4 linked regions of the Arabidopsis thaliana genome follow. The protein of the gene in region 4 interacts with the protein of the main gene of each other region in a biochemical or structural test. Each region holds a gene or a part of one and is shown on either strand. Other genes may lie near its edges.

Region 1 (4,834 bases), on a different chromosome or scaffold from region 4:
GATGGAACCGCAACATACCGATGATGTGTTGAAGTAATTCTCATTTATTCAAATTTTTAGCTTCTTTGTCCCCCGTAATCTGTTTACTTAATTTACCCGTTGTTAACCTTTTTTAATTTTTTTTTGTCAAAAAGGCATTTGGAGAAACAGACTGAATTACTCAAAGAAGCTCAAAAGAACATGTTGCAAGAACTCCAAAAACTTGAGGTATGATGAATAAAAAAACTCTTTTAATGAGCTTGTGATGTGTAGTTAAAGACCAGAGATCGTTAAACTTGTGATTTTATCTTTTGTTTCAGGTTGAACATGAGACGATGATGCGTAAACTCTATGAGCTTATGAACACTCATAGTTTAAATAAAAAGGTAATGCTCTCTTCTTGAACATACTTTTCGACAGAGAATAACGACAGGATTTTCGAGGACCTTAAAGACCGTGTGGTTGAGTGCCATTACGTCTTGATTTGATTTATTCTCACATTCTTATCATTGTGCTTATGTATTGGTTTTGCAGAAAATGGAGGAAACTCAAAATGTGTTGGAGGGAAGAGAAACAATTGAAGCTTCATCTCCTTCAACTGTAACTACTAATGATGAAGAACATTGAAGAACTCAACTTTCTATGATAGACCGGGCCGGTTTTGGGCCGGGATTGAATGGGCCAAAGATTGGATCTTAGGTTTGAAAATTTTGAATCTATCTTTACAAAGAATCTGCAACCTATGTACATGTATAAATATGTAATTTCTACATCTAAAAGCAATCAAATAATAATGTCATAACTCATAAAGTAACATCAATTGCTTGCAAAAAGAATGGAGATCCTCCAATTCTCTTGGTGCTCAAAACATTCCTCACCAAAAGTTTCCATCTTTTCTCATCTTTCCTGCTCTGTGTCTTCATCCTCTCTTTCAAACTACTGCAAAGAGGGACTTTGCATTGTTCCGAGTCTACGCAAATGCGCGAATGAAGCTCAAGAAGCTGCCACATTCTCTTGCAACGGCTACAACCACCAGGGATTGATCTTAGTTTGCATCCCGCCAAATGTTTCAATAGCTGCTCTAAACCATTACACGCTTGAAATCCGCATGACATATGCGGGGTTTCGGTCTTTGTTGGACCTATTTCTCTGCATCCATCTCTACATATATGAACAAAAGCCTCCATTGCTTCATAGAGCTGTGTATAAGTCTGTATCTCCTTCTGTTTCCTGTTTCTTTGCTTCAAGCTCTGCAAAGACAAAATTTTGAAACAAAAATCATCAGAAAACTGTGAAAGTACAAGACTTTGGGGTAAAGAAAGTTGTTAAGATTTTGTATAATTACATTAAGCTCGTAAGCGACAGAGCGTAAAAGCTCTTTTTGAAGTCTAGGATGGCTCTCTTTCATTGCTTGCCATCCTTCAGAAGTAGAAACTTCTTCAAAGTTGTTTAGAATCATTCTATGACAGAGAAGACCGAGACGAGGAGCATCACATAGAAGAGCTAGCTGAAACACATCAATCACATTCTCTTTGTTGAGCAAACTACTTTCGAATTCTGATTCGCAGACTCGCTTCAAATGCGGTACAACGTAGACATGTGATAACACAAGTAGATGTATTGCAAAATCCTCCATATCTTGTTTCTCATAGCTACAAAAACAGAGCAAGAAACAAAATGTTTAAGTATGTATCCCTAAATGTTTATAGCCAAAGATTTGTAAAATCCAAAACTTTTGCTACTTACCAAGAAGAGTATAAGAATCGAATGAAAACTCGAAGAGCGTGGTGAGGAACACCGAGGATTGAAATCGATTTACGATGAGATTTTCTCTTATGTTGCTTCATCATTCCTCTGATTACATCTGAAGCCATTCCCTAATTAAAGTTTAACAGATAAAACTTCATTAAGATTCAATACAAAAAACAATGTTACTGATTTTTCTAAGCATTGGATTAGAGAACTTACGATGACATTAGAATGTGCGTAAATCAAACCATTATCATCAGTATGAATCAAAACATCAGCTCCATGAGCTTCGTCGAACATACGATCCCATGAATCTCTCGTAGCTTTAGAAACAAAGCTATTGCTTCTTTGCATAAACAGATCCGTTGACTTCTTCATTGGAGGAGGTGGTGGTGGTGGTGCTAAAACATTCTCCGGTGAGAAATCGTCCATGTTCTCCATATCTCTTCTGTAACAGGTTAGGGTAAAAAAAATCAGATTCAGAATCTGTATGAAAATGCATAGGAGATCAAATATTGGATCTAAAGAAAGAGAATTTAACAAATTTTACGAATTTCAGTTTTATAGATCTAAGAAAAAAACACAGAAATATTGACGACTTACAGATTTTAAAATTGGATCAGTTTATAAATTTGGTCAACTTCACCACTAAATTATAATGATTGTTCTGGGTTTTATCCTTATCCTCTGTTGATAATATCTATTATCTTCGGAATCAAAAATGGGAAAATTTGCCGACGAAACAGCGGAGAAATGAGATGTGTTGTGTGTTTTCAAGAATAGGAAAATAAGAGAAAGAAGAGAGCAAAGCGAGCGGGAGACTATTTATAATGGTCTAAATTGATTAATTGGTGGAAAATGTGAACACGTCGAAATGGGACCCACACGGAGAGGATCAAGATAAGTATTTGCTGATTCATATACACGTCGGACGAACTTTCCTAAGCACACACTTTTTTTAGTTTTATTCTATCCAAAAACAAATATATGCCTTCACATTATATCCAAGTCTTTAATCAAATATTGGCCTTTATCCAAATGTTCTGCTTTATATTTAATTATCCATTGTATAGTTGTTGGCGACGACGTATATTTGGAAAAGGTACACACATTTCATATTAAGATGTATGGTTGTGTTAATGGATATCCATTAATTAGTCCTACAATTTACCCTTTTTTTTAGTGGATTGATGGTTTCGACGGTGCAAATTAGAGTAAAACAGATAAAACAAACGACATAAATGTAGTTCGTACATAACGGATAGTATAATAAGTAAAACGAGTAAAATAAAAGTTTAGTAATTATGGGAAATTAGTATTCCAATTTTGACTATTTTATTAATTCCAAATACTTAAAACGGGTATTTTAGATAGTGTCTGATATATATAACTAATCGACAATTTTTTTTAGAATCAACAAAATACATTGCTAGCCGCATTTGAACTACCGTATTTTGGGGTTGGTGTACGGTCCAAGCGGTTCACAAAACATGGCAAAAAGGGTAATAAGTTGCATTGTGGATAATACGTTATCGATATTGATTAATATGATTATAAAGTCTCTTCTATTTAATTAGAATATTCTACATGTTTGAAATGAACCGTCCAAATATATTATACCATGTTAAATGTCAGCGGAATAAAATAACCTTAAATTATTTTATCAGGGAAAATTAGGTCTAGTTTAAGATTTGGTAATACTAATACTACAGTGTCAGATCCTAGTCATGTATTTGTATATAAAACACATGATAAAAGAAGGAGTCAGCTAAATAAATGTTGAGCTCGTCCATGTTTATATTCTTATAATGAAATGATGATAGTCATGTAATGGTTTCGTTTTCATGAAATTATTATCTTCGTCCAAGTTGAAACATTTATTGTTTTGAAACAACCATTCATCAACCCACGGAACTGCTACGAGCCGGAGTCGCACCATACCCCTTTATGCGATGGGCAATGTACCATTTCAAAGACCGACAAAGATTAGGTAAGATTGTGATAGGTAATAATAGGTTATGGTAATATCTTTTTGTTTCATTTGTTGGATTATGTTGTGTAAAACGTCACATTGCCTCTTCGCGACAAATTAACGATTTAACCATAGAGTATACGAAAAGTATGATTAAACAAATGAAAAAGCGGTAATTTAATAACGAAATTATTAGTCGCTGACTCAGCCTCAAAAAATAATAGAGCTCTTTTGATAGATACTTGGTCACGAATCTCTCAAGTTGCTGGCACGCTCACGCTGACCTCTTCATATAGTTCATGAGGCACTTTCTCTTTTACGATTGCTAATATGACAAATTAGGGGAAATTATTAACAAGTACAACAATCATGCCTATAACAGCTCCATCACTAAAAGTAAAAACTAATTTATTTCTGTGTCCGTGAAATAAATAACTATCGAATATGTCTAAACACGTCAACAAATTGATTGTGTTTTGATTTTAAAACGTGTATGTTCAACGTGGTCTATTAAACAACTGACATTTTATTCACTATTTAGCTAATTTATCTATCATCATATCAATACTTGTAGAGTTGTCGTTGTAGAAAATTAATGAATTGTATACACTTTGTTTGTTCATTTTTTTTTTTTTTTTTTTGTGCGAAAGTTGGTTTTCATTAGAAATTAAACATTTAAACCGGAGTCAACCGGGTACAAAGACGAAATTGAAGCAAGACCCAATTTTGAAAGGGCATCTGCAAGTCGATTTTCATTTCGAGGGATAGAGTGAAACCTAACAAACCCAATCTCCGACGCGAGGAGGAGAATATCGTGTAGGATTCCATGGAGCTCCGTTAATGGAGTTCTCGAGGTGATGGCTTTGATCAACTGTTGTGAATCAGAAGCAATTGACAGAGAGGTGAATCCAAGATCTTTGGCTTGCTGAAGAGCGAGAAGCATCGCCAAAGCTTCAGCTGTGAGGGCCGATCTTATGTTTCTTGCTGAGGAATGGGTATATTTGTTAATTTGTCCACCGATCTTATTTCTGTGTCCGTGAAATAAATAACTATCGAATATGTCCATCGATATATTAACTTTGTTTGTTCATATATTTTGGAGTAACAATGTCAATGAGTACCCTCTAGCATATA
Region 2 (5,249 bases), 1.6 Mb from region 4:
AGAATAGAAGGTATTAAGCCGCTGTATAACCGGTACTGAAGCATATCCCACTGGTCATATGCAAAGTAGCCGCATGAGAAACACAAAGCTGGATATGCCCATTTCCAAGTCCCACCAACCAACTCAGAATGATCAAACATCTCGTCTAAACCTTTGGCTAAGCATTGATTGAGAAGTATGAAAACCACTGTAGTAACACAAGAGCAGTGTTGAAGATGAAAAATCATAATCAGTAAGGCTTAACGAAGAAAGAACTGCATTATACTCAAGCTATGGCAATCAATCATAAGACTAATCCAATCGGAAATAAGAATCACATTAAGCAATGAAACCGTGAAAACACAGCACCAAAGGAAAATTGACTAATACCAACGACCAATGTGCACACCTATGATAAAATTTCCCCACTAACAGAGCACAATCCTATAGTAAGAACTCAAATATAAGAGAAGAGAGAAAGGGACCTGATGCGGAGGTGATGATTGAGTGCAAAAGCGAGACAGAGGTATTAACAAATATAGGGTCACGAGAAATCCATGAACGAACAACCCAATTCATCAATTGAAAGAAGCATCCACCGCAAATCACCCAGAGAAGCTCCGTCCGGAGATTGAAAGCAATCTCAAACACGACGGAGACAAGCCAAAGAAGCAGCGTCGCTAAGAAAAACTGCCCAGCCCCATTCTTCTTCCCTCCTGAACTCCCAATCCCGTTCCTCGCCATCGAAACCTCACTGTCTCTCTCGGAGATTGCTTGAGAATCCGGCAAAGTTAACCCTAAATTGGATTCTTAGCTCAAACTTCGATATCCATTTCCAATTTTGGCGGAAGAGACGATACAAATGCCTTCACGTTATAAGCTTTACTTTGGGACGCAACGGACACGTGTCGGTCGATACTTCATCCTCCTGATGCTGACTCATCTAATTAAAACAAAAAACGTACGATTTCAACATCGACAAAATTATCATATTTTGTGCCGACATTCGATGTCGACAGTCATTAGGCCTAGTCACAGCCCATTTGAAAGGCTCGGCCCATTTGAGAGGCTCGGTACACCAAACTAGAGGCAAATCCACTCAATACTATACATTAGACAGAGTGATACAACAAAATCCAGAGTTGTTGTTAGTTACACACACAGAAGAGAACAAGAAGACTATAAACAAAACACCATCAAGCTGAAATGTTCAAAGTATGTGTGTAAGTGTATATTAGACCGGTTTCCACACAGACAAAACCTCTTGAAACATCTCCAGCATCAGTTCTCGATCAGCTTGCCTGAAGAAACTGCTGATTTCTTCTCTGACATCATAAATCTTTCCGAAATCAAACAAATACATCAAACACCCTTTCTTCAGTTTCTCCAGCTGATAAAGCCAAGCTTCTTGTAGCCTCTCGAGCACATTACTCGAGTTTATATCTTCCATTAGGCTCTCCTCGCAGGCTGCTTTCAAATCCGTTATGTCGTACTTGTTTGCAGCGCCGAGGAGGGCGAGCCTGTGTTTCCAGAACTCTTCTTGGGTTATGTTTCCGTAGAGGTAACTTAGTAGAGCCATGCAAGATTCTCTCGACATGTCGTCTATGTGGATTGTGGATGATTCCTTTTCCATGAGGTCGTGGTGGAACATGCTTTTGAAAACAGTTGAGCTAGCTGAGAGGATAGCTTTGTGAGCAGAGAGTGTTCCATCGGCTGTGTGGATGATTACATCGGTTAGTATGCTTTCCTCTAGCATCCGGGATAAGCATTTGAGAGTGGTTTGAGTAGAGATTGATTGCATTGTTGCATCGGTTGGCCAAACAGGAGAAGCTTCACCACCCTGGATTATGATTTGATTTGATCAACCATGGAAGTACAAATGTTACAAAGAGAAGAAATTGTGAGAGTATAAATAGAATCATTAAGCTTACATTCACAGGGCAGATTTTGAGATCAAGAAACTCAACATCAATGGTGAATCGACCGTGGAAACTGGAGTCAACATGCCACACACAATCATCAGTTGTACGCAGCAGCTTCTCATAAACTGCACCAAATAAACAGAGTATCTCAGCTTAAACAAACCTAATTCAGTTGTAACCATCCCATAAGGTACTACTAATCATCAGCCAATCATTAACATCTAAATTAATATCTTTCAGATTCCACATAATTGAATATAGTTCCCACATAAAAGGTAATTCCCTTTCCTGAAATACCTAATTCGAGCTCGACAATAGAATTCAAATTCCAAATCCAGAAAAGTCAATTCAAAGACAAGACATACCAGGAGAGATGTAGAATCTACGATTGGGGCCAACGTTGGAGACACGAAGAACAAATTTGGCAACAGGAGGTTGCTCTTTAGATACTCGAGAAAGTTCTGGGAATAGCCTCACTGATAGATAGCGATTCCTCTCTATAGACAGATGCCTTCATCATATCCCAAAACAAACAAAAATCAAAATTCCGAAGAAAATTTACCAAAATAAACCAAAAATGAAAAGCTTACCAATTCCAAATTCCGACTTTGAAAGGATCGGACTTTTTGAAAGAACAAGGACCAAAATTTTCAATTCTCCATTGAGCTAACCTCGAGATTGTCTCTACCTTCGTGTCCCCCATCCACTTTCTCTCTGAAGTTTTGACTTCCTTTTCTCTCTGAACTCTTTACTTCACGCCAAATAACACGACGAAGCAAGCAAAACACTCTGCCGCCTCCATCGCCTGCCACGTGTACGACGATTATACGTTTTTATCCATTAAACCGGTTTACTAACGATATATTAAAATCAATTCTCGGTTTGAAATGAAAGAGAGTGGACTTAGACTTAGAGAGATAACAGATAAAATGGCGACGGGGACGGCGACGGAGAAACCGAAGATCGTGTGGAACGAAGGAAGACATAGATTCGAGACTGATGATCACGAAGCCTTCATAGAGTACAAGATGAAGAATGACGGTAAAGTCATGGATCTGGTTCGAACCTTCGTACCGCCGTCAAAAGCAGGACTTGGTTTAGCTTCGCATCTATGCGTCGCCGCTTTCGAACACGCCTCTGAACACTCTTTCTCCATCATCCCCACTTGCTCCTACGTTTCCGTATACATCTCTTCTTTCCTCAAAAAATTGAGATGAATCAGATTCTTATGAAAATATGTCGTGTTTTGCAGGAAACGTTTCTTCATCGAAACCCAACGTGGCAGCGTCTGGTTCACTCAGAGGATGATTCCAAGAACCTCAAGTCTAGCATCTGATCAAGTCCTGCTTTAAAGCCTTTTGGTGTATAATAAAAACTTGAAAACATTATCTTACAATAGTAAAGCTTGTTTCAAGTAATCTCTGTAAACAAACAAAAATCCCAAAATGTATGTTTTTCACAATTCGACAGCAACAAACAAACACTAATGTTTGTCGTAACAATAAATATAACGTGAAAACATTATTCTATGATACATTTTTGTACAGAAACTTCGATGTGTCTCTTTAGCCAGTGACATAGTAATCCATTTTCTCCGGTGGCAAGTTCAGAACCGATTCGTCAACCTAATAACATCAAGGAAGATATTCAGATCAAATCAATGTAACTAAGATTATAGGTGGGAAGAGTATACAATAATTTATAGTTTACTTACCTCTTCGAAAGGAACGAAGACGAATGCAGTCATACCCCTCTTGTGTGAGACGGCAGGTATATCCGGGTTGTGAGTTTCATCGTCTTCCCAACCTTCAACTAACCCAAGAATGTCTTCTTCTGTGCTGCTTATTTCCTCATCGTTCACACCACTTGTCACAAGTGACAGCAAATCCATCCTGTTATTCGCTCCAATAGCTGTTCCTCTTAACCTAACCACACCCGAAAACATATCCACACCAAGAAGATCAAAATGACTATCAGCTACTAAAAATTTCAACCCCATCACATTCACCGGATCAGATAAGTCTTAGATGAATGTACTAGACACGGTACTTTAAAAGATAAGTAACAGGCCTTCTTCCCAATGCCAGACCAAGGTTCTAAATGCTATTACTAAAAAGAAGTCTTCTCTATCCACATATTTTGAGGGATTGAAGTACCTTAAACGAATCCTTAAGACAGTAGGGCGTGTCCCTGGGTACAGAACAGCTGCTTCGATCTGCAAAAAGAACATGTTTTTCAGTAATCAGGATTATGAAGATGTAATGTTGTTGATTACCAGCCAAAAGGCAGTAGAGGGAGCTAACCTTATCATCCGACATTGACAGTGTATAAGTGCCTTTGTAAAGATTTTCAGATTTAGAAGCCTTAAAGTTCATGTACTTGGCAACATCCTTCAATTTCTGTGAAGAGTTCTGAAGGAATAACAACAAATACGGATGGATCATTATCAGACTAGATCCCACCAGTAGCTCAACGTTTATACCTACTTATATCGAAGAGTGCAAACCTTGTAAAGAAATCTGCCAGAAGGGTAGAACCTTATGTAGCGGTAGTAACAAACCTGCAACAAATTTTCCAAAAGAAGACGCAGATTATTATATGTGTCTGTATTGGACAGATGAAGAAGAAAAGAAAGAAAAAGACAAAGACTTTACAATGTGAACTGGATTTGTAATCTTCCACTCAGCAATTCCAGCTCGAATGTAAGTATTCCTACTCACATAAAGACCTGAGAAGAAGATACATAGTTACTTTAATCAATAAAGATATAACAAGACACGATGTTAGTCAGAGCATACAAAAGAAAACAATCACTTGGCGCTAGAATGTCGTGAAGCAAGAGGATGAAGAAAGAAAGATTACCATCAGTACGAACTCTGGATCTAAGAAGCCACATTTTCCTCCATGATCCATCATATTTAGACTGCAAGATCTTATAGTTTTCGATAACCCCAGCAGTCTGCCAAGCTTTCAAGCAGGCATTACGCCAGAACATAGGGTTTCGAACTGTGTACCTCCACTTTCTACAAACACAAGATGCTCTACCTAAGTCATAAGGCATCATCCGAGCAAACACCTACAAGTAACATATCCAAGAATCAACTTCTCCAGTACATAAGAAAAACAAATTTCAGTACAATGACAAAACATAGTATAAAGAAAGCTCCAACCTCGAAAAGAAGCTCATCAGGCAAGCAACGATGAATCAAAGCTGGATCAAAATGAGGTTTACGGCTTGTACTTCCGAATGGTGGCACAGGCCTCACATGGACTCCATAAAGATCTGTAAAATGTAACTCATTACAAACCATAAACCCAATTCTTGATAAGATGAAAACAGACAAGAGA
Region 3 (5,807 bases), 7.6 Mb from region 4:
AAGAAGAGAGCACCGTTTGGAGAATCATATGTCGTATTGTCGTTCCCGAGAAACCTAAGCTCTAAAGTCGAGATAAATGGAGTTCCTTTGCCTTTGTTTCCCAAACACACAAATATGTTCTCAGATTGGCTCAAGTAAACGACTTCTTTGGAAACAATGCTCGACCCATTGCTGAGCAAGACGGTATCCCAAATATTGCCACCAAGAAACAGATCAAACTCCGGTGAACCATTTTCTCCATCGTAGTTACCGTACATGAAACTAGCTCTTATGAGATATTTCTTGCCCTTCCCTTGTATTGGAATCAATGTATAGCAGTTTCTTGAACCTTCGGGAAAGCTCCTCAGGTTTTGAAGCTGTCTTTGAGCTGTGAAAGGGATCGATTTGGAGACTCCGGTTTCGACAAAGGATGAATCTGAGACGTAGTTTATACCTGTTGTGTCGTCTTTGTACGATGATCCACTTGGAATTCCACAATCGATGCTTATGAAACCTGTGATCACGCAACGAGTTAAAGTTATGAAAAGAATAAAGGATTAGACTTTCTTCACTAGAAAATAGTTTGAAAGATAAATGAATCAGTTAAGAAAACCTGATTGGTCTTGAGCAAGAACAGAAACGACGAGACACAATGCAAATGCTGCTGAATATATCAAATAGAGAAAACGAAACTCTTCCATTTTCGTCTGGTTTCTTGAAAAACAAGGAAAAAGAAGACAACTAAAAATGGGGTTGAGATTTTTGATGTGATGAAGTTTGAAGTTTTCATTTAAAGACACAAAAATAATTATTCTGACGTAAAGTCTGAAGACCAAACATAAACAAATTGGAAGTTAAAAGTGATTTAAATTAGCTACTTGCTCTTGGTGACATTGCAAAGTCAAATCACCATCAAAAGTCAACGAGAGACCCGCCGTATATATCAATTATTATCCTTACAAAAAGAAGTATAACACTCAAGAAGGTTGATTTTCATTTTTCATGAACTAGGATATATATATTTTCACTAGATAACTCAACTTGAAATATGTTAAGTCATGACAATCATGATATAAATAACATTAATGTATATCTTTTTTGTCTGCCTCTAAATAAAGTCGTTTAGGACCAATATTATTGATTTGAATTTCTAACATAAAATGAGTGATGATGCAAAAACTTCTTCACATTACTGTCACGAATCACGACTCGGCATGTATATAACAACCAACTTGATATAGACAATGTTTGTTCAAAACCACTATTGTGCGCCGTATTGGTGCGCAATATACACTATACCCTGCGCCTATGTACGTTTTCTTTTTGTGTCTAACTGGCTATACACTAAAATCTAAAACCTGTTTCTATATCAAACCAGAAGAACGTGACGAGAAGGGCCCGAGACTGTTCCTCGCCCTAATAATGTTTTCTACAAGCAATCGCCATTTAGATTGTTCTTTCTTGCTAAGCTTCTTCATTTTCTCCTTGAAATTCCTACAAGGTTAAGAAAACGATTACCATCTGTATCTTAAGGTTGTTGGCGTTGTCTGAAATGTGCGATATAACTTACCAGCAGAGAGAAACTTTGCAAGAATTAGAATCATCACAGATACAAGAGTGAAGCTGAAGAAGCTGCCACATCCTTTTGCAATGAGAACATGAAGCCCTAGACTTGCATCCCAAGAAATGTCTGAGCGCACCTTCAAGCCCTTTACACGCCGGGAATTTACACACGGTATGGCTTCCTTTAAGGGCCTTATCGCGAGGTCCAATTGTCCCACAACCTTCACGACATATGTGGACAAGAGCTTCCATGGCTTCATAGAGCTGCAAATACACTTCTCTCTCCTCCAGTTTTCTTCTTCTTTCTTGTTTCCTACTGTCGGATTCGATGACTGCCTCAATGAGCTCTTGTTCGAGCAAAGGATTAGAGCGTTTCATCACTTTCCATCCCTCTGTTGAAGATACAGATTTGAAGTCTTTGATGACCATGGAAAGACATACAAAGCAAATCCTTGTCACGTCACAGTTTCTCGCTAGTTGAAGCACATCGATCACATTCTCCTTGTTAATCCATCCTTGATCGAGAATCTCTACACAAAGTCTTTTAAGAGATGGGACCGAGTAGCAATGTGACAGAACCAATAAATGGAGCACAAACTTCTTCATTTCTTCCTCCTCGTAGCTGTAGGTTTTAATATCAGGCATGGTTCAAAGGAGAAACAAGCATTACGAAAGCATTTGTAACACATAGAACATACCAGGAAGAGTATAGAAACCTAATGAACATGTAGACTGCTTCACAAGGAACTCCATGGATTTTGAGGTATGTATTCCCATTCTTATCCCTCGATTGATTCAGAAGTGTCGCTATAACTGGTGAGGCTGCAGCCTGCAGAAGACAAAAACCTTGTAATATTGATCAGTAAGCCCGGAAAATGAGCTCAATTACCAGTTAATAAAACTCACCAGGACACTTGAATGGGCAGGAAAGTGAGACTTGTTATCGGTTTCAACATATGTATCTGCTCCAGATCCTTCCTTGAAAAGCTTATCCCAAGTTTCAAGTGCTTCTTTAGGCACAAGGCGCATTAAGCTCGAAGGTTTCCTTGTACTAGATTGAAAACGCTGGTAGGTAATACAAGGAAGAGGAGGAGGTTTTGGAATGTTCTTGGTACTACTAGACATCGTTGCTGGTGAAGTTAGGTTGAAGCAGAGTCAAGACATCATGATCAGGAGCATAGAAAGACTCTTCTTCTTCTACTCCCGTATCGAACACTTGCGAGAATGTATGATCTGAAGAAGCTATGGAATCAAACCCGCGAATTGAAAATAGGTTACGTGTTCTTTAATCTGTTAAGATCAAATGCAAGAAGCAAACATAAGTTATATATCAGAGTTAATAGTCAATCTCAGGTTTCTCCTAGTAAATTTACAGTAACCAAGATTCAAGTTCCCTAATCTGATGCAACCTCAGAATTTAAGAATCAAATGTCCATAAACTCAAAATAGTCCTACTTAAGCAAATCATTGACACAAAGTTAGCAACTTTTGATTTAAAAATATCGAACAGTGACACGAACAAGACTAAATTAAAGAAGCTTCATTAGACATGAACATCAGTGACAGTGAGAATCCAGAGGTAGAGATACAGTCATAAAGAGATTATCAAGAACAGGAACAAAAACATCCAATACGGAAGATTCTGAGTCATTAAAAGAAAGAAATCAAATTCAGAGAATAAGAATTATTAGGCAAGAACAAAAAAAGAAAATAAAGGAAGGGTCTTGATCATTCTTACCCAGAAAATCAGAATCGAAGATTTACCCAATTCTCGGAAGAATCATCTCTTTGATTCAGTATCTCTAACTAGTGAAGTTCACAACCATTGATCTTGGAATCACGAACCCAACGCTAACAGAAAGAAGAACCTTTGGTGACAAGTGGTTTCGTAGTAAATATCACACAACACAGAAACCAAAGGTCACGAAAAGTATGTAAATTTGCTTGCATACATAAACGTTAAGCAAAAACGCCGTCGTTTAAGTGGGAGAATCAAGAATGAAGAGTTAGTTGTTTCTGAGTTCTTCGAATGATAAAGACAAATGGGCAAAAGAAATTATTAAAAGTATGAGAAAACAACAGAGTGGAAAAATGAAGGCCACGAATGTTTATAAAATAAAAGTTGGAATGATTTGGGGGATAATATAAGGTTGAAATACATATGGCTGATCTTCAATTGCACCAAAGATCAAAGTTAGTGAATCCTTGTCACCAAATATAAGCACATTATCTTTACCGACTAGCCGGTGAAAATATAACACCGACGACCGACCAATTAATATGATACAAATAATGAAATAAGGGTCAAGTCATCTTTTTTTTTAATTAATTTAGGTTAAAAATTAAGAAAATAAAATGACAAATAATTAAACGATTGTGTCAAGTAAAGGAAAATAAAGATCTTGGAATTTAATTTAATTTAGAACAAAACAGATTTCTGATAGTAAACCGTAAATTTAGTGGTGGCTATATTATGCAGCAAGATTATCAGTTAACTAGATTTTAATCTGCGGTATACCGCGGGGTTATATCTTTTTTAAAAACTAAAAAGTTAATTTGTTTAGTAGATTAAATAAATATAATTCATTTTAATATTTTCTAAATGTACAACTCTTATATATATATATATATATTATTTAGTATACAATTACTATGTTTATTTTTTACTGTTTAACAATATAGAAAGAATAACACACAGTTTATTAAGTTAAAATTTAGATTATAACTAAATAATTCAAATTTTAATTATATTAATTTTATTAATATAATGATATTTTGATATATATATATATATATATATATATATATATGATTTCACCCATGATATACTGTCTCGTATTATTATCGATCCAAAGCCGTCATATCATCTAATCTCGTTCAGTGAAATTAAACATATCTAATAGATTTCACCCATGCTATACTGTCTCGTATTACCTATCGACCCAAACTCGTCATACCATCTAACCCCGTTCAGCGAAACTAAAAATTATTTTGTTATTTTTGTTTTAATAATACTTTAATTTAAAAGATATATAATTCAAATCAGTTTAAAAGTTTTATTTTAAATGGTTATTTAATTGTTTTAAAATTCATATATTATAAATATTATAAACCCGTCTTATCATCTAATCTCGTTCGGTAAAATTAAACATTATTTTTTTATTTTTTGTTTGAATAATATTTTTATTAAAAAATTTATAATTCACATCAATTTAAAAGTTTTATTTCAAATGATTATTTAATTTTTATACATTTCACATATTATAAATATTATAAAACGTTTTTCCGTTAAATATTTTAAATGTTTAACTAACTATAATATTTATTTTTAATAAAGTATAATATTAATAAATTCCTAAGATTTCTCCTTTTTAAAAGTAATTAGAATTGATGGAAATATATTAGATAAAGAAATGCTAATAATTAAGAATATTAATTAGTTATAATAATTAAATATCAATGACATCCACTGTAAATAAGTCCCAACTTAAGGATTTATTTACTAAAATAGCTCCAAAAATGTATATATAGATGTTATCAAAATTCGAATTAAAAAGTTGTAAAAAGACTCGGAGGCGGTCAAAATCAATTTTTTTATTTTCTTGCATAAATTTGTGAACTCCAGAGAATTAAGAATGACCAGTGATAGAGCTCCACGTGGATAGATTGGGTTCCAAAGTGGGACGGCGTTAAATATAAAAAGGCCGGAAGTTGTCGAAGTAGTCTTTTTTCCCATTATTTCTGTTTTCGGTTCCTTATTTTGTTCCTTTGTAATAATGAGTGACATCAAAAATATTTGGGGACGAATTAACAGGTAATGTAAATAGAAAGAAATAGAAAATTTTCTTTGATTTTACAATTTGGATTCGGATTGCATAAGCAATGACATCAACAGTAATACATAGCTGAGAGGCTGAGATGCAGTGTCTCTCTCTCAGGGAAGATGACAAAAAGAATCTGATATACACGTACGTATGTTGCGAGTTACATATTGATATATCACATGTCATAAGTCACATGCTAACGATAAACTAATAAACTAAAACAATTATGTCAACATATATCGGTGAATTGCATTATCATCGACCTCGGTCACTGTTCCGCACATCTTGGTCGCCACGGAACATAGACAATTTTTGGATTGTAGTCCAATTAATGAGTCCCCCACCAAAGCCGTAGTAAAATCGAAGTCGTTCTCTAATCCAATCATATATATATCCATAACACACACCAACAACACCCACACAACAAAAACTAGAGTCAGT
Region 4 (6,214 bases):
ACTATGGATATTGAAATCGTTATAAATCAATTACGATAATTATTTACCTAGTGGCGGCGATTTCTAGACAAATCACAGCTTTACAGATCTCACCCTGATAGAAAAATCAAATTCTCAACACATAAGGAAAAATTATAATCAAAGTACTCGATGTGAAACTTTGGGATTCAGAATCGGATTTATCTTACAACGCCGATGATGGATGAATCGAACTGAGCATCGCAAAGACGGCGGATCTCTGCAGCTTTTCTGATTAAAAGCTTGTTGTTATCGAGACTAAGTTTCCTACCTATGTCGGAGATATCCATATCCTTAATTTTCCGGCGATTGTTACAAGACAAAGAACCAAAGTCAGACACTGTGAGAGATTTTTTCCCCTAGAAATGTCAATGGAACCGATTAGGCTATGAAAACGCTATAAACAAAGCGTTGCCAACGTTTGGCGGGATTTTTTTACGCCTGGTTGAAATTTTAGCCGCGAATGTTTTTTTTGGCTCTTAACCGTTTAAAATGGGCCTTAAAAGGCCTCGAGCCGGCCCAACGTGTCCAGAAGCTGAAATCACATACGGTATCTGATGAAAGACAAAAGAAAAGGAAACAAATGTATATTCGATTAAACCGGTAGTGACGCTGTGTTGGTTCGTTCTTACCGACTACCGTACAGTTCAAAAGATTTTACATCAAACATAAGGAAATAAAGCAAAGAAAGAAACAGAGTAAAGCCTTTTTTTTTTGGGTTGTGGTATTCAACTTATTTAGGCTAGATAGCGGTAAAGTTTCCGGTCTGTACTATCCCTTTCCAAGAAATCTCGTTCAATGAGCGACTCGATTCTCTTCTTTATCTCCGTGGGATTAGCTAGGAACCGTGGCTGCAACTGTTTCGTCACCTCGGCGATTATGTTGTTGTGGTCTAGTATTTTCCTGGACTTCATGATCCTTACGATGGCTGCTTCAATCTGAGGTTTTCTGTCTTCCTCCACTCTCTGTCTCGTCTCTTGCTTCTCCGGTTCTGTTTCCTTTTGGGCAACCACAGTTCCGATCTTCACTTTGTAAAACTTGCTAGTGAACTTGTCGTTCACAACGAACAAATCCTCCTCTCCTATGTCTTTGCTCATGGGTTCTTTCTTTATCACGTTTTTGCCCTTTACACAAGCTAGCGACTGCAAACAGCGTTTAAGATCTGCTGCCGGGATTTCTGTAGCCTGTTCGATCTCTTTGTAGCTGAGTCGATCAGAATTGTTGAACAACATGAGAACACACATCTGGAAAGTCGACACGTTCAGTTCATGTTTCTGACCCTTTCCAAAGATGGCTTTGATATCTGCTGTGCCCATGTTTGTTTGCCAGGACAATCTTCTACCGGTATGTGTCCCAAGGTAGTAAGAACGGAACTTCTCACAGAGAACTGAAACTTCAGCTGGGAGATTACAAGGTACTGCAGGCTGTGTTGGCCAAGAACCAGTTGTAAGTACCTGAACAATAAGTGTAGGTCCTTCTGAAAGCTCGGGGTGACTGCCATAAAACCCACGCATTGTGTCCTCTGAAGTCTTCATGTCAGTGAACATGCCTTCCAATTTTGAAGTGAACTGATAGCCACATTCTGTCTTTAGTTTCACTATTAAACTCCTTTCTGCGTCATCTGACACAGTTTTGCCTGAGAGAAGCCTTTTAGCCAAATGCTGCTTGTAGTACTTCTCAAAGACATCTTTCTCTTGTAAATAACGGAACAGCATCATCACTTTATCAAGGATAACCTCAACATCCACATCGGTGATACCCTTAAGTCCTTTCCGTAGCTTGTCATCAACAAACAGGGAGATAAACTCAGGAGAACGAGCATTCAAGTTGATGAAATACTCGAATGAAGAATTCAGGGCATTCTGAAAGGTTTTATCATTGCCAAATGCGGTGTTGATGATTTTGTCATATTTATCCCGCTCATCCAATAGACGTTGTACAAATTCCACCGGATCCTTTGACTTTTCCGGATCAGTAACCAGTTGTTTTCCCATCTCCCTAAGATGCGAAGTCATAACGTCTCTGACAGTAACAAGACCATTAGTAACCCTGCGAAACAAGTTGTACATTCTACCCAAATCCTCATACTTGTCATTCAGAAGCATATTAACCAGACCTGAGTTCTCCATGTGAACCAGTCTCTGCATGTGGTTGGCAATCATCTCTTTCTCAACCACACTAGTAATCTTCTCTTCGCTCTTGGCATCTAAGTAGTGCGCTACCCTCTCTATCTCTTCAGTAAGGCGTTTCTCTGATTTCTTCAGATAGTCCCCACAATCACAAGATTCAATAAACTCCTGAGACTCAACCTTATAAAACTCAGAAGACGCATCCAAAAACGGCTTCTCAAAATCCTCCTGATACACAGATTCACCCAAATCCATAAACATCTTAATGACATTCCTCATCAACCCCCTATCAATAACTTCACCTATCCGTTCCTTCTGCACTAGATCAAGAAGAGTGTTTAGAAGCCTTGTATGTATCTTAGTGAAATGCACAACATTATCCCTCCACAAGTTAAGCCCCATCGGATGAACATGAGTCTTTTTGGTGCTCTCAATATAAGTCCTATCCATATACATGAGAATGTCTCGAATCATCTCTAACGCTTTGTTGTGCTCATTCCATTTCTTATTAAGCTCTTCTAGAAACGACCCTCCCTGAGCTGCCTCGATAAGCTTGGATTTTTCTTTGAGATGAGAAGTCATAGTAGCAATAAACCCAGTATATAGCTTCTCACCAAACTTGTGCAGGACCATGTTGTACGCATTTCTGAGCCACAATATACACAAATAATTCCATTAACACGAAACCTAGCTAAGTTCCAGAAACATTACCAGTTTCTACAGGATTCAAAGAAAGGCAAGAGAATGAAAGAAATTGACCTGTAAAGTTCTTCGAAACTGAGACCGCTAGCATCTTGATTGTAAATCTGATGGATCGCACGCTCAAGAATCTGCCAAGTTTTATCAGCGTATTTGGGATCCACAACGACTCGATGCTTAAACGCCTCTATCTGAAAATTCCTCTTCTTCTGATTACTCATATTTTGAAACCTGAATCCAAAACAAATCAATCTAAATTCACACAGCAACGAAAAAATTGACGAGCGAGAAGAAAGTATATATGTATAATCATAATGAAAATCAGGTGGATCGAGGAAATCGGAAGACTGACCGGAGAGGAAAGACGGATGATCGGGATTAGGGTTTGGAATTGTATTCTTTGCTTCCGTGAAAAGATTTGGGGGAAACAAAAAGATAGGAAATGGAATAATAATCGAAAAGTTTAAAGGAGAAAGAAGCTTAAGGCTAATTTGCAGCGTCGAAGAGATATAGATAGAGAGGTATCGGAGAAGATAGATTTCGAAGGTGGAGAAGAAGAAGAGGACAGACCAAACGGAGCGGAAGAAATAAAAGTGGACTCTCCGTCTCTGCTGGTGGTTTCCAAACTATAACGTATTTATTAAATTAAAGTCGCGGTTGTCACATTCTCGTCCTTTGGTATATTGGTTACAAAGAATTGTGAAATATCGAAGTCCAAGGATCGATCCCTAGTCGAAGCCAGTTATTTTTTTTTTTTTGACATTGGAGGTTTAGTTAGCTTTTATACTTATGTGGATATGACAAATTGGCACGTCGGTCATTTCATTTAATTGAACTAAAAATATGTCAACTTCTATTTCATAAAGAGGCTTTGAATCCCTTAGAGTGGCGAATGTTGCTTCTCCTCTTTTGGCAGAAGCCATGGCGCTTCATCTAGCCCAACAAAATGCCTTAGAACTCGGTTTTAGGAAGTCACCTTCGCTTCAGATTTGCAAACGCTGATCAAAGCTATCAACTCAGAATCCTTCCCAAAGAATCTCTACGTGATTTTCCAAGATGTTCTTGCTCTTTCGTTTAATTTCGATCAAATTTCTTTTCACTTCATTTTTAGAGAAAAAAACGGTTGTGCATATGCATATGCAAAATCTGCATTAAATTATGCACTTATTGTACCAACTTATGTATCGGTTTAAGTTTCGGTTTAATGAAATTTCAGCTTCTTGACGAAAAAAAAAAATCCCTTTTAATTCATTCACAAAAAAAGTTATATCGTCTGTTACCTTTCTCTTCACCAGTTTACCAACCTTTGTTGCTTGCATTCACTGTTTCGATGCCATATTCAATCGTCTCTATGCATCTGTTTAAAAAATGCATTTCCTCCACAACTTCAGCGACACTATGTTCTAACTTCTAACTAGTTTTTGTCGTTGTAAACACGTCAATGGATCTTCTTCCTTATCCCTGGTCAAGCTCATGATGATATTCTTTGTCTTTGCTTTCTTGAAGCCATTTTCTGGAAAGCAACGCATGGTATATACCATCTTTCTTGTTTTAATCATACAAACTTTGACTTGGACCTATCTTCTTACTTTTCATTGTATAATCTACAAACTTTATAACAATCTTCACCTTCCCTATAAGGTTAACCCAACTAGTGGATTATTCGTATCCACCTCAAGCGCCAAAACATGGTAAGGATCATTGGTAGATTTTAGTATGATTGTGAGGTAGGATCATTGCCGGCTCAAAGTTATGGGCGGTCTAAAGTTTTTTTTTTTTAATAAAAAAATTAGCAGAAGTAGTTGAGGGAACTCGAACACACAACCTCTTGGCTGAAAATGTGACATAAATCGCTGCACTGTAAGGAATTTTTATAATTTTATTGCCCCCAAATATTTGTGATACCTAAGGTTCTTGCATAAATGCAGAACTTGATAGAATACGGTACACACTGGAGTCTGTAACTGTAGAAGTAGAACCAAGTAGCCAACATGCGCCTCATCAAGAAACTTGACGTACGTTTCCGAGACGGGACAATGGTTTGATTTATGCCTTTATGGGTCTTTAACACTTTATGAGAAACAAGGATCTTTAAGTGGATTTAAATATTTAAAATTTAAGAAACAAAGGTCTTTAAGTGAATACTATAAGAGTTTCTTTATTTATTTTTCCAATCGAATACTCATAATTTTATAAATACTGAGACACATAATATTCGGCTAGCTCTAAAACATTGGAGCTGGAAAGTTTGCCTTACGTTACGTTAATTGGAGCTACAAAATACTCATAATTTTGTAGTTGAAGCATGATGAAAAGTTTGCCTTACGTTATTACTTTTTAAAGCATTGGAGCTGAAAATAAAATGCTTGCACGAAATACTAACCTAACACAATTAAGCAAACATATACCAATCACACGTCACGTCTCTCTACCCAAAACAAAATATCACACTTCACGTTATATGACTTATATAAACATATTCTAAACTATTTATCTATCATCCATCCTTCATTGGTTTTCGACAAATTTGATTCCCACAAATTATTTGATATCTTGAGGAAATGAAATTCTTCATTTTTATTCTAGCGTTACAACAACTCTACGTACAAAGTTTCGCCCAAGATTTCGATTTCTTCTACTTCGTTTTACAGGTAATTAAAGTCGATAAATGTCTCTACAAGAATTATCATTGTACTTTGAAATTTTATGTTTGTGTATGTGCGTTGCAATGCAGTGGCCTGGAGCGTATTGTGATTCAAGACATAGTTGTTGCTATCCACAAACCGGTAAACCAGCTGCAGATTTTGGAATTCACGGTCTTTGGCCTAACTACAAAACCGGTGGATGGCCGCAAAATTGTAATCCTGACAGTCGATTTGATGATTTACGGGTTTGTTTTTAACTTATAACACAATAGTTTTTGTATTTTGGGACTTCGGAAATTATTAACCACAAGAAAAGAATCGTAAATAACTAATGAGAATCGAAAACTTTTATAAAGGTTTCTGATCTGATGAGCGATTTACAAAGAGAATGGCCAACGTTGTCGTGTCCGAGCAATGATGGTATGAAGTTTTGGACACATGAGTGGGAGAAACACGGTACGTGCGCTGAGTCCGAGCTTGACCAACACGATTACTTCGAAGCTGGTCTCAAGCTCAAACAGAAAGCTAATCTCCTTCATGCCCTTACCAATGCTGGTACAATATTCACTTGTTTTGCCCTTCATTTTGATCTCCATTGTTAGTTATGTATAAGTGGATGTTCTTTTCTTATTATATTTTGTGTTGCATGATGTAGGGATCAAACCGGATGATAAATTTTATGAAATGAAAGATATTGAGAATACGATCAAACAAGTAGTTGGG

What was found.
Region 1: the proteins of CUL3 (region 4) and BT5 form a complex in vitro, tested with the Arabidopsis thaliana proteins (one study listed by BioGRID).
Region 2: the proteins of CUL3 (region 4) and AT1G21780 form a complex in vitro, tested with the Arabidopsis thaliana proteins (one study listed by BioGRID).
Region 3: the proteins of CUL3 (region 4) and BT3 form a complex in vitro, tested with the Arabidopsis thaliana proteins (one study listed by BioGRID).

Annotation. Positions count from the first base shown.
Region 1 is NC_003075.7:17,669,824-17,674,657, forward strand, and holds BT5 (BTB and TAZ domain protein 5), read right to left. Parts: upstream 2,531-4,834; 5' UTR 2,332-2,530; intron 2,177-2,331; 5' UTR 2,170-2,176; coding exon 1,948-2,169; intron 1,857-1,947; coding exon 1,726-1,856; intron 1,632-1,725; coding exon 1,325-1,631; intron 1,230-1,324; coding exon 783-1,229; 3' UTR 658-782; downstream 1-657. Other genes in the region: AT4G37608 (uncharacterized protein), read left to right, coding at 2-33, 135-207, 300-365, 514-606. UniProt on the Arabidopsis thaliana protein: May act as a substrate-specific adapter of an E3 ubiquitin-protein ligase complex (CUL3-RBX1-BTB) which mediates the ubiquitination and subsequent proteasomal degradation of target proteins.
Region 2 is NC_003070.9:7,649,831-7,655,079, reverse strand, and holds AT1G21780 (BTB/POZ domain-containing protein), read right to left. Parts: upstream 3,154-5,249; 5' UTR 3,083-3,153; coding exon of another isoform or gene 2,831-3,082; 5' UTR 2,605-2,830; coding exon 2,492-2,604; intron 2,413-2,491; coding exon 2,267-2,412; intron 2,027-2,266; coding exon 1,911-2,026; intron 1,820-1,910; coding exon 1,214-1,819; 3' UTR 1,066-1,213; downstream 1-1,065. Other genes in the region: AT1G21790 (TRAM, LAG1 and CLN8 (TLC) lipid-sensing domain containing protein), read right to left, coding at 1-187, 465-723; AT1G21770 (Acyl-CoA N-acyltransferases (NAT) superfamily protein), read left to right, coding at 2,831-3,082, 3,154-3,237; FBP7 (F-box protein 7), read right to left, coding at 3,467-3,526, 3,616-3,826, 4,058-4,116, 4,205-4,312, 4,408-4,461, 4,556-4,629, 4,764-4,977, 5,072-5,184. UniProt on the Arabidopsis thaliana protein: May act as a substrate-specific adapter of an E3 ubiquitin-protein ligase complex (CUL3-RBX1-BTB) which mediates the ubiquitination and subsequent proteasomal degradation of target proteins.
Region 3 is NC_003070.9:1,704,669-1,710,475, reverse strand, and holds BT3 (BTB and TAZ domain protein 3), read right to left. Parts: upstream 3,741-5,807; 5' UTR 3,281-3,740; intron 2,833-3,280; 5' UTR 2,668-2,832; coding exon 2,449-2,667; intron 2,372-2,448; coding exon 2,241-2,371; intron 2,165-2,240; coding exon 1,550-2,164; intron 1,474-1,549; coding exon 1,344-1,473; 3' UTR 1,116-1,343; downstream 1-1,115. Other genes in the region: AT1G05700 (Leucine-rich repeat transmembrane protein kinase protein), read right to left, coding at 1-493, 593-680.
Region 4 is NC_003070.9:9,292,916-9,299,129, reverse strand, and holds CUL3 (cullin 3), read right to left. Parts: upstream 3,566-6,214; 5' UTR 3,199-3,565; intron 3,078-3,198; 5' UTR 3,068-3,077; coding exon 2,907-3,067; intron 2,794-2,906; coding exon 756-2,793; 3' UTR 501-755; downstream 1-500. Other genes in the region: ORC6 (origin recognition complex protein 6), read right to left, coding at 48-94, 189-308; RNS3 (ribonuclease 3), read left to right, coding at 5,408-5,497, 5,581-5,736, 5,848-6,046, 6,147-6,214. UniProt on the Arabidopsis thaliana protein: Component of the cullin-RING ubiquitin ligases (CRL), or CUL3-RBX1-BTB protein E3 ligase complexes which mediate the ubiquitination and subsequent proteasomal degradation of target proteins.